3 linked regions of the Macaca mulatta genome follow. The protein of the gene in region 3 interacts with the protein of the main gene of each other region in a biochemical or structural test. Links are inferred from orthologs where the notes say so. Each region holds a gene or a part of one and is shown on either strand. Other genes may lie near its edges.

Evidence for each region.
Region 1: the proteins of MBL2 (region 3) and CALR form a complex in vitro, tested with the Homo sapiens proteins (2 studies listed by BioGRID and IntAct). The link is inferred for Macaca mulatta from reciprocal best matches to the Homo sapiens genes MBL2 and CALR.
Region 2: the proteins of MBL2 (region 3) and CR1 interact in a biophysical measurement, tested with the Homo sapiens proteins (2 studies listed by IntAct). The link is inferred for Macaca mulatta from reciprocal best matches to the Homo sapiens genes MBL2 and CR1.

Annotation. Positions count from the first base shown.
Region 1 is NC_133424.1:13,502,747-13,508,790, reverse strand, and holds the start of CALR (calreticulin precursor), read right to left. Parts: upstream 3,949-6,044; 5' UTR 3,918-3,948; coding exon 3,827-3,917; intron 3,465-3,826; coding exon 3,363-3,464; intron 3,171-3,362; coding exon 2,967-3,170; intron 2,545-2,966; coding exon 2,450-2,544; intron 2,358-2,449; coding exon 2,148-2,357; intron 2,061-2,147; coding exon 1,947-2,060; intron 1,858-1,946; coding exon 1,714-1,857; exon of another isoform or gene 1,681-1,713; intron 1-1,680. UniProt on the Homo sapiens protein: Calcium-binding chaperone that promotes folding, oligomeric assembly and quality control in the endoplasmic reticulum (ER) via the calreticulin/calnexin cycle.
Region 2 is NC_133406.1:65,244,998-65,251,154, reverse strand, and holds the start of CR1 (complement receptor type 1), read right to left. Parts: upstream 3,949-6,157; 5' UTR 3,845-3,948; coding exon 3,709-3,844; intron 1-3,708.
Region 3 is NC_133414.1:96,985,592-96,991,798, reverse strand, and holds the start of MBL2 (mannose-binding protein C), read right to left. Parts: upstream 4,094-6,207; 5' UTR 3,911-4,093; coding exon 3,899-3,910; intron 2,939-3,898; exon of another isoform or gene 2,880-2,938; coding exon 2,684-2,879; intron 2,025-2,683; coding exon 1,908-2,024; intron 547-1,907; coding exon 478-546; intron 1-477. UniProt on the Homo sapiens protein: Calcium-dependent lectin involved in innate immune defense. Binds mannose, fucose and N-acetylglucosamine on different microorganisms and activates the lectin complement pathway.

The DNA.
Region 1 (6,044 bases), on a different chromosome or scaffold from region 3:
CATCTGGCTAATTTTTAAAGTTTTTTGTAGAGGCTAGGCACAGTGGCTCAACCCGTGTAATCCCAGCATTTTGGGAGGCCGAGGCGGGCAGATCACCTGAGGCCAGGAGTTCGAGACCAATCTTGGCAACATGGTGAAGCCCTGTCTCTACCCAAAAAAAAAAAAAAAAAAAAAAAAAAAGGCTGGGTACGGTGGTTCATGCCTGTAATCCCAGCACTTTGGGAGGCTGAGGCTGGTGGATTATGAGGTCAGGAGATCGAGACCATCCTGGCTAACATGGTGAAACCACGTCTCTACTAAAAAAAAAAAAAAAAAAAAAAAAAAATCGGCCGGGCACGGTGGCTCAAGCCTGTAATCCCAGCACTTTGGGAGGCCGAGACGGGCGGATCACGAGGTTAGGAGATCGAGACCATCCTGGCGAACACGGTGAAACCCCGTCTCTACTAAAAAAAAAAATACAAAAAAACTAGCCGGGCGTGCTGGCGGCGCCTGTAGTCCCAGCTACTTGGGAGGCTGAGTCAGGAGAATGGCGGGAACCCGTGGGGCGGAGCTTGCAGTGAGCTGAGATCCGGCCACTGCACTCCAGCCCGGGCAACAGAGCCAGACTCCGTCTCAAAAAAAAAAAAAAAAAAAAAAAAAAAAAAAAAATCAGCCAGGCGTGGTGGCAGGCGCCTGTAGTCCCAGCTACTTGGGAGGCTGAGACAGGAGAATGCCGTAAACCTGGGAGGCGGAGCTTGCAGTGAGCTGAGATCGCACCACTGCACTCCAGCCTGGGCGACAGAGCAAGACTCGGTCTCAAAAACAAAAAACAAACAAATTAGCCTGGCATCCATAGTGGCACATGCCTGTAATCCCAGTTACTGGGGAGGCTGAGGCAGGAGAATCGCTTGAACCCAGCAGGCGAAGGTTGCAGTGAGCTGAGATCGTGCCATTGCACTCGAGCCTCAGCAACAAGAGTGAAACTGCGTCTCAAAAAAAAAAAAAAAAAAGGCCGGGCGCGGTGGCTCAAGCCTGTAATCCCAGCACTTTGGGAGGCCGAGACGGGTGGATCACGAGGTCAGGAGATCGAGACCATCCTGGCTAACACAGTGAAACCCCGTCTCTACTAAAAAATACAAAAAAACTAGCCGGGCGAGGTGGCGGGCGCCTGTAGTCCCAGCTACTTGGGAGGCTGAGGCAGGAGAATGGCCTGAACCCGGGAGGCGGGGCTTGCAGTGAGCTGAGATCCGGCCACTGCACTCCAGCAAGGGGGACAGAGTGAGACTCCGTCTCAAAAAAAAAAAAAAAAAAAAAAAAAAAATTTGTAGAGATAGGGTCTCCTCACTACGTTGCCAAGCAAGGTTGTCTAATTCTTGGCCTCAAGCAATCCTCCTGCCTCAGTCTCCCAAAGTACTGTGATTATAAGGGTGAGCCACTGTGCCCAGCCCCAGCTAACTAAGTGGGTTACCTGACCACCTTCTAGTTCTTTCAGGGTATTTAAAGAAGTTGATTTGCATAAAAGTACTTGGGGAAGTACTTAGTTCACAAGAAGTACAGCCTCAAAAGCATTGCTGTGAGGACTCCACAGGGACAGACCAGGAAGTACTGTTTACAAAAAGTACCATTTTTGAGTCAGACCCGCCTGGGGTGCGATCGTATCCTGTCACTTTCCCCTTGGGTAATCTTATGCACTTGAGGTACCCCAGGGATCCTCCTTTTTCCTCCAAGTCTCACCTGCCAGAGGTCCAGGCCCAGCACACCAAAGTTATCATAGGCATAGATACTGGGATCAGGAGAGTACTCAGGATTGTCAATTTCTGGGTGGATCCAAGTGCCCTTGTAATCTGGGTTGTCGATCTGCCGGGGCTTCCACTCACCCTGCAGAAGGAAGAAGGGAACTAGAGGGTGAGTAAGGTTGGTGCACTCCCCACTGTGAGCCCCAGCCCTGCTCAGAGCCCCAAACTCACCTTGTACTCAGGGTTCTGAATCACTGGGGGTTCCCACTCTCCATCCATCTCTTCATCCCAGTCCTCGGGTTTCTTAGCATCGGGGTCAGGGATATGCTCGGGCTTGTCCCAGTCCTGGGGGGTAGATGAAGAGGTCAGAGTTGGCCCAAATGTCCTCACACCCTCCAATGTGGAGAGCAGAGCCCCCACCCAAACACCAACCTCAGGCTTGGAGTCTGTGGGATCATCGATCTTGGCCCGCTCATCCCAGTCTTCAGGTTTTGAAGCATCAGGATCCTTTATCTTCTTGGGTGGCAGGAAGTCCCAATCGTCTTCCAAGGAGCCCGACTCCACCTGGCTGTTGTCAATCTTCACCTCATAAGTGTTGTCTGGCCGCACAATCAGTGTGTACAGGTGTGTAAACTCATCATCCTGAAGAAGGAAGAAGGTGAGCAGCCCCCCCTCAATCAGGCTGACCTCTGAACCTCCCCATGACACCCATTTGCCACCACCCCCAGGCACACCTTGCAACGGATGTCCTTGTTGATCAGCACGTTTTTGCCCTTGTAGTTGAAGATGACGTGAACCTTCTTGGTGCCGGGGCCACAGATATCAGGACCTAGGTGTGAAGCAGATCCAGTTAAAAGTCAGAGACTACCCACCATTTCGAGTTCCTCACCCCTCTTTACAAAAGGAAGACCTGGTTCCTAAACTCGGGTCTGTCAAGGCTGAAAAGAGAAACTCAGACCCTGATTCTGTGCTGAATGGGTTGTGGGTGAAGCCTTAAGTTTAAATTAAAAAAAAAAAATCAGTGCTCTAGAACTCAACATCCTCATTTGTAAGATTGGGAAATAACTATATACAATGACACAAATTAATTAACAGCCTAGATCTGCGATCATAACGCAATAAATTGTTGCTGTGACTTAATTCTTTTAGCGCCCCTTCCAAAGACAATCATAACTATTAAGAAAGTCAATGGGGTCTGGGTCTCCCTCCAACTAATGGGACAGAGGTCAGCACCAGGAAGCAGCCCCTCACCAAACATGATGTTGTATTCTGAGTCTCCGTGCATGTCCGTCTGGTCCAAACTATTAGGAAACAGCTTCACATAACCGCCCCCACAGTCGATGTTCTGCTCATGTTTCACCGTGAACTGCACCACCAGCGTCTGGCCTTTGTTGCTGAAAGGCTCGAAACTGGCCGACAGAGCATAAAAGCGTGCATCCTGGCTTGTCTGCAAACCTGAGACGGGACGGTAGTGTGGTCACCGTTGGGTCCTGACCCGCGAGGACCCTCGATTTAGACGATACAGACGACTCCCCCACTTCCTCCACCTGCCCTGCTCCTAGGGGACTGTCCCGGCTGTGTGTGTGCGGACAAGGACTTCTGCCAGGAAGTCCTCGCGGATCTGAGCACCCACTCCTAAGCTCTTACCTTTATCTTTCTCCTCGTCACCGTAGAACTTGCCGGAACTGAGGACGAATTTGCCAAAATCTGACTTGTGTTTGGATTCGATCCAGCGGGAAGTCCACCCGTCTAAGTGGAGGGTTAGAGAGTTAGGTCAGCGCGGCTCTGCTAATCCCCCCCCCCACCAAGCATCTGCGGAGAACCACAAGCTGCTGGGGACAGGGAAGGAGATCCCCGACTCTCCCCACCCCAACCTCTAGTTGACACGTCGGGTGCCTTCAGCGATCCTCGGGCGAACCCTAACTCCCACCGCGGGAGGCCGCTACGCCTTCCGCGCTCCCCAGAGACGCAAAAGAGGGATCGCCCGCAGCTCCAGTCGCCGGGGACCACTGTGTTGGCCCTCTAAGCGGTAATTACGGGCGACGACGCAGATCCGGGATGGGGGGCCGGCCGCGTCGTCGGGACGGCCTCGAGGTGGGACCAGGCGTTACCTCCGTCCAGAAACTGCTCCTTGAAGTAGACGGCGGGCTCGGCGGCGGCCAAGCCGAGGAGGCCGAGCAGCAGCGGCACGGATAGCAGCATGGCGGGCCGAGGGGGCGGCGGCGCGCGGGCCCTTTAAGACGACCCTCCGGCGGCGGCTCTGCAGTACGGACGGACGCCGCCGCCCGCCTTGCATTTTTATACCCACCCGCCTCTCAAACCAACCTGACCCAGCCCTTGGGCCCGCCCCTGACACTTTATCATTGGCCTGCGCCCACGGCCGTCTCTTTCCATTGGACCTTCGTCGGTTCACTAGGTTAGGCTGCGCCTCGGAACGCTGGGTTCCCAGATGGCCGATTTCTATTGGCCTCACCACTGACCAATGATGGTCGACCACGCGTTGTGGGGGACGCCCACTGGTGAGGTGGGGGCCGCGAGCCCCTCAGGCCAGGTCATGTGACCAGACCTGAACCTAAGACCGCCCTTGCCCGTGCGCGTCGTTCCCCATCTGGGCGTTTAAAGAACCCGCGGGAGCGCAGGTGTTTCCACGCGGGATCGGGACCCCGCCTCAGCTTCTCTTCCTCCCGTTCCCTCTAGGTGGAGGGGCTGGGCAAGGCTTTCCTAGCCAGTTCTTATCTTGCATTTGGGAACCAGCACCCCACTGCTGCTCCCCTACCCCCGCCCAGGATAGGAGAGAGCTCATGGGTTGGGGCCCTGGGGCTACGCTGCACCCCGGTGCTACAGCCACGCGGGCCAGTGGGAAGAATGCCAGCCCTCTCCTCATTCTGCCCCTAGGGCCCTGGCAGCCTATCAGACTGCTGCTGTGTGACTGGGGCAAGTCACTTAACCTCTCTGAAGTGACAGACGTTCCTGAGCAGACAGAGGGGGTGACCCTGGCCAGGTGCTACCCAGCAGAAATGCTGTTAACGTTTTTAAAGCTGGCCTGGGACAAGAGGGGAGGAAGACTTAACGATGTGACTGTGACTCCTGGGGTGGGGATAGGGTTATTACCCAGATTGCAGCAGCCCCTTTACTCTCGTCTCAACCGGTAAATGAAGGAGGTCGCTGTCTGTGGTCTCCCACAAACGGCCTGGCTTTTGCAATTAAACGGCTATAGGCGAGAGGGCAGGGGGTTCCGTTTGGGGAGGGAAAAAAGACACAGATGGTAGCGAAGATAAGGTGCTAGGGAGATGGGCAGGACCCCCCCACCCCACCCCAGTCTGGAGTCTTCTGAAGCCAGAGGCACGTGACTGGCACCAGTACCCTGCCCCCAAGCTGTAGAAAGGAGATCTGGGGGTTTTCCAAACTCTGGGCAAATAAGCCCTGGACCTGGGAACACGGGAGTGGACTGTGGAAGGAGGGAATGAGGGGGATCCAGGAAAGAGGGTGAGGAGGGGGTGCTTCCTGGCTAATGGTTGTGACTCAGAAAAGGGAGGAAGGAAAAAATGAAAAGGAAAACAAAGTGGAGTGGGGGAATGACTTGGCAAGGGTCTTTGGTTAAGAAAAGAAAAAGAAATGGTGGCCGGGCGCGGTGGCTCACGCCTGTAAACCCAGCACTTGGGGAGGCCGAGGCAGGCGGATCATTTGAGGTCATGAGTTCGAGAGCAGCCTGGCCAACAAGGCGAAAACTCGTCTCCACTAAAAAAAAAAAAAAAATTAGCTGGGCGTGGTGGTGGGTGCCTGTAATCCCAGTACTCAGGAGGCTGAGGTGGGAGAATCACTTGAAACCTGGGAGCCAGAGATTGCAGTGAGCCGAGATCACACCACTCCAGGCCACCAGCCCAGGTGATAGAGCAAGACTCCATCTCGAAAAAAAAGAAGGGGGAGAATGAATTGGGAAGTTGGGGTTCTACCCCTTCCTCTAGGTAGTATTCAGTATTGCCTAGTCTGGTCCCCTCAATGAGGATCCCGAGGACCATCCCAGGCCTCTGGCTGACCCTTCCTCCTGTTCCTGTGTCAGGCACCTGTGGGCTTGGCACTTCCTACCTGAGATTAGACACTGCCTGTTTTGTTCACTTTGCATCCTCCAGTGTCACCTGCAGCATCTGGCACAGAACAGGATTAAAAACTACTTGCTGCATGACAGAAGAGAGGAAGGAAGGACTTGTAGAAATTAACTAAAAACAGGCTGGGCACAGTGACTCATGCCTATAATCCCAACAGTTTGGCAGGCCAAGATGGGAGGATCACTTGAGGCCAGGAGTTCAAGACCAGCCTGGGCAACATAGC
Region 2 (6,157 bases), on a different chromosome or scaffold from region 3:
GTCAACTCTGCCATTTTCTTGTTTTCTGGAGTTGGTTTTATTACAGGGATCTTCACCCAGTATTTCTGTGTAGGGCACTTTTGATGTTACCTGTCCAAATGTGAAGGTTATTTTAGATTAAAATAGATAATATAAATCATACATCCACTCATCTGAGCATATGTAAACCAAAATACATCACAGAGCACAGAAAGCAAGTTGGAACTTCCCTTCTATCTTGCACCTTTACCTAGCAGGGATAACCAAACCAGATCCTACATGAGGACCAGATGAGGGCGCCAGAGTTCACCCTATGCTAAACACTGCCTGGTAAAGCTTAATTTGCGTACTATTTTATGGCTCAGAATGTGGTCTATCCCCATGAATGTGAGCCGGACAATATGTGTTCTGCTGCTGTTGGATGAAGTCACCTATACATGTCAATTATATCCAAGTGGATTGATGGTGCTGTTGAGTTCAAGTATGTCCTTATGGATTTTCTGCCTGCTGAATCTGCCCATTTCTGATAAGAAGACTTCAGCACCTTTTCTGATATCAGAAAGATATCATAGAAGTCTCCAACTATGATAGCAAATCCATCTATTTCTCCTTGCAGTTCTATGGGTTTTGCCTCACATATTTTGTCTCTCTGTCAGGTGCATACATATGGGATATTATTATGTCTTCTTGGATAAGTGGCCCCTTTATCATTATATGATGCCCCTCTTTATCCCTAATAATTTTTCTTGGTCGGAAGTCTGCTGTGTTTGAAATTAACACAGTTACTCCTGCTTTCTATAACTAGCATTAGCATGGTATATCTTTATCCATTTACTTTTAATATATGTCGTCTATATTTAAAATGGTCTTGTTGTACACAATATATTGTTGGGTCTTGTTTCTTGATCCACTCTGATGATCTCTGTTTCAAATGGTGCATTTAGATCATTGGCACTCAAAATTATTGTTGATATGGTTGGTTTAGTGTTTGTTACTGGTTTCTATTTGTTGCCTTTGTTCTCTTGTTCTGTGTTTCTACTTTTTGTCTTCCATTCTTTTCCTGCCCTTTATTGTTTTATTGGTTTCCTTCCTTCCTCCTTCCCTCCCTCCCTCCTTTCTTTCTCCTTCCTTCCTTCCTTCCTTCCTTCCTTCCTTCCTTCCTTCCTTCCTTCCTTCCTTCCTTCCTTCTTTCCTCCGTTCTTTCTCTTTTGATATGGAGTTGCGCTCTGTCACCCAGGCTGGAGTGCAATGGCATGATCTCCGCTCACTGCAACCCCTGCCTCCCAGGTTCAAGCGATTCTCAAGCCTCATGCCTCAGCCTCCCGAGTAGCTGGGACTACAGGCACCCGCCATCATGCCTCGGTAATTTTTGTATTTTTGTAGAGACAGGGTTTCACTATGTTGGCCAGGCTGGTCTCGAACTCCTGACCTCAGATGGTCCACCCACCTCAACCTCCCAAAGTGCTGGGATTACAGGCATGAACCACCGTTCCCGGCCCTCTTTATTGTTTTAACTGAGCATTTTATATGATGCAATTTTCTCTTCCTTATTCACATATAATTATCATTCTTTTTTTCACTTTTTTCAGTGGTTGTCCTACATTTGCAATATCTATTTGCAGCTAATCTAAGTCCTCTTTCAAATAGCCCTATACCACTTCACGGGTACTGTGAGTTAATCATAATAACAAAACAATCCTAGTTCCTCTGCTATGTTTTGTATAGAAATAAATATCCCCATAAACTGTCCTATGCAAACTGTTTCTGGATTCACTCTTTAAGTGCTAGTAAATCCATACACCTTTCACTCACACTTTCCTGATCGTAGGAGCTAAGACTTCTCCCTTTTCAGTGATCCTGCAGTCTTGCATGACTTCTTAGTCATGATTTTTCAGATATGCATGGGGGTTTTCAGATTACAAAACACTGTCACATGCATTACACCATCTGATTTTCAAAATACCTCTTTCAGAGATCAGGATGTCAGTTATGCTCATTTTATACATGTGGACACTCAGTGATGTGACTTAACTTACTGGGTCCAAGACCCCAGCTGGTAAGTAGCAGAAGCTGGAAAAAGCCGAACACTGGCTTCCTAATAAGTAGATTTCATAAAACTCCACCACCTACTTCTACATGCATATACCTTGGGTGCATAGCTCTTATACTTCTTTAAAATTCTAAAGGACCGTGCACACTGGAAACATCCATCAGCATTTTAAAATTTAAATTATGTCAGCAAGAAAATTTCCAGGTAGTATAGTTTAGGCTGTTTCACATTTGGAGGTTATTGTGATAACCTCAGTAATTTTTTTTATTTTTGCAATTAATAGTGTCTGGGATTGTTTATAACAGTAACTTAATCAACATAGGCAAACTAAAACAACATTCTAGTAAGAAGAGGGTCAGTACTCACAAGGATGACACAAATTCTTAAGCACTGACAACAGATTGCTTAACTTACTGGGCATGCTTCTCTTCTAAAAATAAAATTGTAAGTTTTATCATATCTCTTCACCTGACAGGTTACTTTCTGGTGCCTAAGGAGATCAAATAGTAATAACAACTCTTGCGGGAACTTGGTTTTAATTTATTTTATTTTTTACTCTTTTAGAGAAGAAGGAACACTCAAATAAAGAATGCAAAATGTCTAGTAGCAGAGAAGGGCGAACCTGGAGTTGTCAGAAGAGGCTGGACAGGAACAACCAAGACTGTCACTTCAATTGAGATGTTGCCAGTGAGTCTAGGCAAACAAGAAGACTTCTGGGGAGCCCAAAAATAATAATAGAAGGGTTCTAATTGAAGATGTTTACCTATGTGAAGTTAAGAAAAAGGAAGAGATGTGGCCTCAAAATTTCCATAGTAGTTATAATAATAGGGTTTATTTTGCACTAAACACATCCCTAAAATGCGAACTGTAAACATATCTACTGTTCCTTCTACCTGCAGCGGTTACACTGCATGTTCTGGGGCTGCCCTTACTCCTCTAATCCCCAAGTGCCTGGCATGCATCTGTCTTAAAATATGCTATCAATCAAGTGCAAGGGTGATGATAGCGGTGGTGGCTTGGGGTGGGGAACGAGGATAGTTCTATGTGGGGCAGTTGTCAGGTAATACCTGCATCCCTAGGACTGCTTGTCTAAACACCATTGGGAGCAAAGTGCAGAGGCAATGGTTGAGGGGATAGAAATGGACTCGGGGACAGGCCCTGTGTTAGACACTCGACAGGCTTTATGCCACTGAGGCAGCACCTCCACAATGCACAGATATCAATGTCCCCATTTTACAGAAGAGCAAACAGACTTAGGTGTGCTAAGCTGCCTCATAGTTAAGTTTCTAGGACCAGAACTCAGGTTTGTCGGATCCCCAAGTCCCCTTTCGCTAGGATCAACGCCACGCTCCGCTATAGCCAGCCTAGACTGTGAATACACAAATGCAAGGAATTTCATGCGACACCCGCTCAGCATCTGCGCCTTCCTCTGCGCTGGTCACGACTTAAGCCCCATGCACATGGGGACTCCACGCTTACCCAGAAGCAGCGAGGGTCTCCAGTGAGCAGAAGAATCCCAGACCCGCCGCCCTGCCGGTTTGCGCGCTCAGCCCACCCATCGCACTGCCTTCGGACCCGGGCGTCCAGAGGAGCGCAGCCCAGCGAGGCACGCGAGTTCCCTGCGGGGCCCCGGGTGCCTCGTCCGCCCAGGCGCCTCCCCACGCCCGCCCGCGTCTCACCCCAGGCCACCGGCAGCGCGAGCAGCACCACAACCGCCAGCAGGGATCCTCCGCAGCAGAAGGGGAGACGGGGCGCCGGCGGCCCAACAGGCTCCGGGCTTCTTGGAGAAGAGGCCCCCATTCTCCCCAAGCACATCTACAAACCAGATTTGTTCTCGAAGAAAGCTGAAATAAGAGGAAAAGAGCAGTACAAAGAGGAGGGACCAATCCTTGTGCTCCGCGCCCAGGGTATGGGGAGGGCTGCGGGGTTCCGGGACAAAATGCTTTTCACCACAGCTTCCTCTTCATGGGCGAGGCCATGTTTACTCCCCATTTGCATTGTTTCTAACGGGTTTCTCTGGCAGAGCCCACGTTGCGGACCCAGGTGCAGCAGCAGAGCTTGACAATGCTTGGGCTTCCGATGGATCCCGCGTGCGAGGCTCTGCGCTTACAGACACAGGTGGTGGATGACGGCAGCTCGCCTCCAAACAGCCTGCTTGACTATTCCTCTTTGCAAGAATGTGTGTGGGAAGGTCAGCTAATGAAATGCCTGGTCTCTGTGTTGAAGCGCAATTGCAGGCCATGTGTACAGTGTACAGAGAATGTGAAGAACCAATTTCCTTATCGTGAATTGAGATGTCAGGCCATCGTAAGATTTTTAAAAAGGGAGGGACGATCGGATATACATTTTTAAAATGTAAATGTGTGTATAGTATGGAAGGTAGATTAGAATAGGGCAATAATGGAGAGGGGAGACCAGTCAGGGAGCTTTTGCTGACATCCAAGTGAGGTTTGATGGCGGCCCTGACTGGGTGGATAAAGTGGATAATTAACAAAGATTTTGGAGATGAAATGAACAGTTGCTTGTGTACTGGATATTGGTTACTTCCTTTCTTAAGGTTGGTGGTGAGAAGAAAGCAATCAAGAGTTAGCCCCAGGATTAGAAATGGATGGTGGTGCTACTTATTGAAATATGAAATATGGATGTAGGAGTGACAGATTTAGGGTGACGGTTAAGTATTCAAGGATGAATTTATTCCTCCTATCTATCTGTGATCCTGTGCCCTTTAACCAATCTGTCTCTATCTCCCATTGTCTCTCCCTTCCCCAGCCTCTGGTAACCAGTACTCTACTCTATACTTCTATGAGATGAGCTTTTTTAGAGTCCACATATGACTGGTATCATACAGGATTTGTCTTTCTGTGCGCACTGGTTTCCATTAGGCTTTCTCCCAAAATTCTAGTGGAAGAAATGTCTACTTTGATCATATCACTTATCACACTTTTTAATACATCCAGTGACATTCTTTTAAGGATTTGCTATCATCATTTCAAGTTATTCTCGACAGAGTAATGGGAGAAGCAGTCAGATTGTAGTAGGCTTAGGAAAAGAGAAGAGGAGAAGGCTCAGTTTCTCAGTTTTCCATCACATGCTATCAGAAGGTGCCACTCCTTACCACTTCTGCTGGTATCCATCTCCTAGTGTCTACTTTCTCCCCTCATTCCTTGAAGGTTTTAGCTCCTGGCTCATGGCCACCTTCTCCACTATTAGTTCTGCCACAGTCCCTGGTTATTTCAATATTCACAGCAATAGCATTTTCAAATCCCTGGTCTTAAAGTGCCTTGACCTCTTCTCTGCCTGTGGTCTTGTCCTCTATTCTCCTCTGACACTAATGCTCATGTGCATGCTCTGAAACTTGTCACTGTCACTGCAACCCTCAATGATTTCAGTGATCCCACTCTTTAACCACCAATCCTACTCTTCTCTTTTACCATTAAACTGAATCCAGCAATCTTTGTCTGTCTCAGTGCCTGCAACCCATTGATCCTACCGCTCTCTCTCTCAGCCTCTCACCTCTTTCGTGTCTTCACTTTCATCACTACCAGGTTAAATTCCATACTCTGTCATTATAATCATCATCTTGCACCCACCATTAGCTCCCTCACCCTTCTCTTGCTTTATTATAGGCGTTAGACAAATCGACAATCCTGGTTAGAATCAATTCTCCATTATTTTGCTCCCATACCTGTGAAACTGAATGTGACTGGAAAAGACACAGAGATACAATGACTAGCCTTACTTTAGTAACAAAGAATTTCAAATGGACCATTGTACTGCTGCCTGACATTTCCACTATTTTTTGTCTAATCCATTTATTCTCCCATTCTCCTAAATGACTATTTCATATTTTTGACATTTATTTCTGACACCTTCTCCAACATTCCTAATCTCTGTGAATAGCTTTGTTTCTTTCTTTATTGAGAAAATAGAAACAATCAAATAGATCTACAATTTTCTACCATCGCTCCACCAAAATTCTTGTATTTGGCCCATGTAACTTCCTTCTCTCTTGTTAGTGTATTTATACTGTCCACAGTCTAAGTCTAAGGGTGATCTCTCCACTTGTGCCCTAGATTCAGTTTGCTCTCACTCGCTCAAGGAAACCAGCAATTCTCACTTTCTCCAGCA
Region 3 (6,207 bases):
CAAAGGCCTCTCTGTGCTTTCAGATCAGAATTCTAAAACATATATAATTTGGACTTCCAAATGATAAATTATTAACTTGAGACCAAACAAAAAATGTCTGAAAATATTTGCCCGAGGCAGGTTAGACCCCATGTCCAGGTCTCAATACCAGTGCAACAAAGGGATATAAGTCCCATTTTCAGTGAGCAATATCAGAGGGTAAAATATTAGGGTCTCTCGAGTTAGACTGACTTCCATCTATAAAGCACCCCTGCCATTTTTTAGCTCTGTGCATTTGAGCAAGTAATTTAACTTCCCTTTGCCCCCATTTCTACCAAAATGTTGTGAGAATTCCATGAGGTCAGAATATGAGAAATGCCTATCAGGGTACAGAAAATTATATGCATTCAATAAATATTTTTTGCATTCTATAAATATTTGTAGCATTCTATTTTTCCCAAATTTCAAGCTGCCTGGAGAGTAAGAGAAAAGGCTTACATTTTTTGATACGAGCCATTTCTGTTTGCAGAGCTTTTCTTTCTGAGGCAGCCAGGCTACTCTCACAATCTAGAAAATTAGAACAAAGTAAAGAAGCATTGTTGAGAAGGAACCTCGGAACTGTGCATATACACGAGAGTAGAGTATCTTTTTCAAATTGAAAAAGAAGCTTATTTTACATTGATGTTTACACTTCAAAGGAAAATAAAAAATACTTAAAAGTCAAAAGAATGAAAAATCTCTATTTTCATCCAACCCCAAACGTCACTCTTTGTCTGTTTACTGTATCCCAAAGTACACGTACATATCACATGCACACATATACTCCCTGATTACTTAGCAATCCATAGGCCAGGTTCTTCACAGATTATTTCTTTCCAAACAAATTGTTCTATCAAAACTAAAAAGAAATCTCTTGAGGCATTACTCTATTATGACCTGGTGAAGAGTGACTAAAAAGATTACAGGGTTTTTGTCTTTGGAGAGGTTTTGCTTTTGTTGTCTTTTATTTTGTTTTTGTTTTTCCCAGGTTTGTTCTATTAGTCAGGAAACCAAGATTTTTGTGAGTTGCCCATTATCCAAGTGGGGAGGGCAAGAGCAAACCACTTGTTGTAGTAGATGGCAAAAATGGCCTCAATAGGGTGTAGCTCCTCTCATTTAGACACGAGTCTATTTCAGTACTCGTTGAATCTGGGCTGGCCTTGTGACTTGTTTTGACCAATACAGTCTGGCAGAAATGATAATGTGCTCTGAGTCTTCAAGAAGCCTAAAGCCTTTCTTATTTCTACTCTTGGGAATCCTGTAGTCACTGCTATGTGAAGAAGCCCTGGCTAGCCTGTTGGATGATGAGAGACGTGGTTCAATTACCCTCATCACTCCAGCTAACATTCAAACAACAGCCAGACACATGAGTGAGACTATTGGCCATCAGCTGACCACAGACATATATGAGTGAGCCCAGCTTAAACCAGCAGACAAATCACATGGCTGACCCACAGACTTGTGATTTAAATTGACGGCTATGTTTTTAAGCTATTAAGCTTTGGCTTGGTTTCTTATGAAGTAAAATATGACATACCATGGTTACATGCTTTTGCAAAAATAGACATAATAAGCCCACACTTAAATGGTCTATTTTTTCCCTCTAGGACCAGGGCCTCACATTGAACTATTTCAACTGATGGAGAACCCAGGCTCAGCTCCTACAGGGAGTGCCTGATGAGGGAGTTGTCTTGAAAAGTTTGTAAGTCTGTACTCAGGCACTTATAGGAATTCCCTAAGGCTCTAAGAATGAAAAGAGGGCTGAGGGCACTGGGTCAGAAAGCAAATTTGGGTATCTTCCTTTGAAGGAACAGGAGAAGGGGCACACCAGGTACTCAAGGTCTCAGAACCCTGGGTGCATTCAGCTCGGACCTTGCTGGAGTCCTTACCTGGACTCTCTCCAGGGTCTCCTTTTTGGCCCTTTGGTCCTGGTGACCCAGAAGACCCTGGATTTCCTGGAGGCCCCAACTTTCCAGGAGGGCCCTGTAAACCTCTGAGCCCTTGGCCTGTTGGAAGAAAAAGGAAATGTGACTTAATATCTATGTTCTTTCTCTTCAAGGGTTGGATGCCCAGTCCCTTCTCAGGAGAAAGGAGACCTTGACGCAGGACTGACCTTTCTGAGCACTGCTCTCAATAACTGTATGGTATGCACCTGAGAGCAATAACTTAAGAAATAGAGTTGCCATATGGAGGTTGCTGCAGGGAGGGTGCAAAGTGAAAATTAACTGCATGTTTTTTACAAATAGTTGTGGTTCTCCTGTCCGGCCCACTGCTGCTGGATCTCCCTGTAAATAGATTCCCCCAGTAAAACCTATGTTTGCTGGCTCCAGGTCTCTACTTTGGCCTCTTGAACCTGGTGCCATCCCTATTGAAGTGAATAGGGGTCTGACATGACAATAACTATGACCCAGAGAAGAAAAATTCATCCTGTGTCCCATGCGATGGCCTGACCTGTGGGCCGCTTTTCTGGGCAGGCAAGACAACTGTTAGTCACAAACTGCTGTGTGGAAGTCTGAGATGCCAGAGAATGAGAGCTGAATCTCTGTTTTGAGTTACAGTATAGTTGAGAAAAATATACTCAAATAGGACATCAGTCTCCTCATACCCCCAGGCAGTTTTCTCTAGAAGGTAAAGAATTGCAGAGACAGAACAGCCCAAACTGTACCTGGTTCCCCCTTTTCTCCCTTGGTGCCATCACGCCCATCTTTGCCTGGGAAGCCGTTGATGCCTGGGGAGTTACAGGCAATCACCGCAGGGCAAATCTTTTGGGAATCCTCACAGGTCACAGTTTCTGAGTAAGATGTTGCCACCACACTCAGGAGAAGGAGAGTGAGTGATGGAAACAGGGACATGGTCCTCCCCTTGGTGTGAGAAAAATCAGGGAAGATTATCTCAGTTAATCAACATATATGTATTGAACATGCCCTCTGTTCTACAACCTGGGTACAGGCTATATAGAAATAGATGACCCATCCCTGGACTCTAGTTGGGGATTTGGAAAAGTAAACATCCTTGTGACATTGTGTGACTAGTACTTTAACAAAGGTAGGCACTGTGATGAGCAGTGGGGATCCTAAGGAGGGGTTCTTCTGTGCCTAGGCCCCTGGTGTTGCCGCTGAAAGACTATAAACATACTTTCCATGGCAGTGAGAACAAATGGGACTGTGCATTGACACCTCGCTCATGCCCATTAGCTTAGGGAATAAGAATGCGTGGAAACCCAGGTGTCTGTAGGAGCTTCCTCTTTCTCTCCACATCCCCTTTGAGTCCATCTGCCACCTGAATCCTATCTTTGTATCTGGGCAGCTGATTCCTCTCCAGGGCCTGTTAACTATCATTTACTCAGTGGCAGGCCCTAGGCTACAGGTTGGTGATCCAATGAGGAAGGTCTCAACCTCAGATCAACCTCAATCTTAGTCACCAGCCCAGCCCAGAATTAACTTGAGTTTGCTTCCCCTTGGTGTTTTAGACAGGTTTGCCTGGGTAAGCATTTTCTCTGAAAATTTCTTACTATGTTGGACCTGGCAGAGTGCTAAATCCCTCTCTACTTTCTGGCAGGAACTCCCCCGTTCTGTGAGTCAAAACCACTGGCAATTAGACAACTTGCCTTGAATCCCCCTCCCATTTCTCAATCTTAACCTTTCATTTGTTCTTCAGAGCTTTCTTCCAGCTATTACCCCACTAAGAATCCTCAGCAGCCCAGCCCCATAGGTCTAGGTCCTCGAGGCTCCCTTTGGAAACAAAGATAGTTTCCACTGCAGATGAACAGATAATTGAGGAAAGTCACAGGTGCTCCAGCAGAAGCATAAAAAGAAACATCCTCAACCTGATTTCTGCCTTTCATCCCACTTCCCCCACCCCTAGAAAGACTCCTCCGTACCTCCAGGGCCATGTCAACTCCCCAAACCCTTGATCCGGGAACCCAGATTTATTCACCAGAAATGACGTACTGGTGTTTCTGCAGAGCAGGGACTCAATGACAAGGACGCTGGCCCTCTAGCCTGGGGCTCTGGCAGATGCCTCAGATTGAGGGAGGAGGCTAGGCTCAGCAATGTAGGGCCCAATCAACCTTGTGAACAAGGATAGCCCGGGCCTGGCCTTCAACTCCAGATTAATAAACAACTCTTCTCGGGACTAGGAGAAATTTAGGAGCCTCCAGCACAGTGCTCGGCAGCTGTGTGCTTCAATACAGTAAAATTTCTCTTTCAATTGCCATCCATTTTGGGAAATCTCCTTGCTGAACTACCATAACTAGGTTCACCTGGTTAGTCATGTTGAGTTCCTTGTTTCCAACAGGAAAACAAGGATACTCACAAATGCAGACATATGCTCATGCCCACCAACTACACACACAGACACGTGCATGCGTGCACACACCCATCCATGAAAGCATATAGACCTCTTGCTGCCATTAATGCATTAAGGTCATTCCTGCCTCAGACTCTTCACTTGATGTCTCCACGCCTGGACCCCTTACGGGCATTGCCAGCTAGCTCTTTCTCTTCTATTTAAACATTCCAATTTCAGAGAAATAAGTACCTTGATCACTTATTCTAAAATAGTCCTACCTAGCAGTCTCTATCCTCTTAGCCTGAATTATTTTCTCTCATGCTACTTACACTTTATGATATTATAGTCATTGACTTTACTGTTCCATTTTTTCATTGTGCTAAAATAGACATACCATTTTGACCATTATTATTAAGCATACAACTCAGTAGCATTAAGTACATTCACATTGTTGTGCTATCATCACCACATCATGGGACAATTTTCATCATCCCAAACTGAAACTCTCAACTCATTAAACTAGAATTCTCCATTTACCCCTACCCACAGCCACTGGTAACTTCTGTTTTACTTTCTGTCTCTCTGAATTCATCTATTCTGGGTACCTCATATATGTGAAATCATACAATAGCTCCTTTGTATCTGGCTTATTTCACTTAGCACAATGTCTTCAAGTTTCATCCTTGCAATAAGAATTGTAAACTGTGTTAAAGACTTTGGGTTTCCTTCCAAGGGTCACTAGGGGAACTGCAATAGTGGAGAGATGATCACATTTGAATTTTGCAATGTGAATTTTGCACCTTTCTGGCTATAGTGTTGAGGGGAACAGGACTGGAGAAAAGCAGATCTAAAAGGAAGTGCTTGCCGTGATCTAAGTAGCAGACAGTGGCCTGGGTTGGAGTAATGGCAGCTGGATTATGAAGGTGGGCACGTTTGAGAAACAGGAGGTATTGATTGCACTTGAGAATTAGCTACAATAGTGAGCGATAATAAGAAGTTTTCATGGGCACACACATTTACGACTTGACTATCTAGGGGCCGCTCAGCTGAGATAAAAAGCAAAAGAACAGCACTTGGCAGTACAAGATCATCAGTATCGTGAGTGTTAACGGCTTGAACCATGTTCCTGTGATTAATGGGGACAATCTAGAAGGGATGGGAGAATACTTTTATGAAGCATAGTTCACTTGATTCTCAACTACATTTCCAATATAGCTTTCAGAAAAATGCCATGTAGCTTGGGGTGTTGGGGAGCCCATCATGGGAAGTTCAGAGGCTGCGAGGCCATGTGGTGGGGATACTATGGAGGCCTCCAAACACCAGAAGAAATGTGAGTAAGATGCACTGCCAGGTCCCTTCTAATTGAAGTCTTCTTGGCTTGTGGAGGGACTGGCTTCCTTATTTCCTGCTGACCTGTCCCCTGTGCCTGGAAAAATCCAGGATGGTACAGAACCACATGCCTAAAGCCATCAATGGATATCAGGAGATCCAGGGCCTAAAGAACACAGTAGATTACTTGTTTCCCTTCTTATTCTTTAGCAGCCAGAGCTTCCCCTGCTCCTGCTCCAGTAGCAGCAGGTGGGGCGAGGTAGTTGACTCCAGGTCACCGGCGGTGCTGGCTTTAATCACAGTGCTTGCTTTCATTGTTTACCTAGTCCAGAGGTTAGGAAACTGCCCTCCAGACCCTGAAATGTCCTAGAACTGGGTTCAGAGGGTGGGGGGATCTGAGGGAAAGTCAATCTAGCAGTTAAGCCACAGATTGGAGTGTTGCCCAGTTACATCCTGCTCTCCAGAAGGCCTTTCCCAGCAGGAGAGGCCCCTCTCCACATACTGCAGCCTGAATGTCTCTCTCCACATCAATGCCCACTCTGCAGTCCATCCCATACACAAGGCCACTGT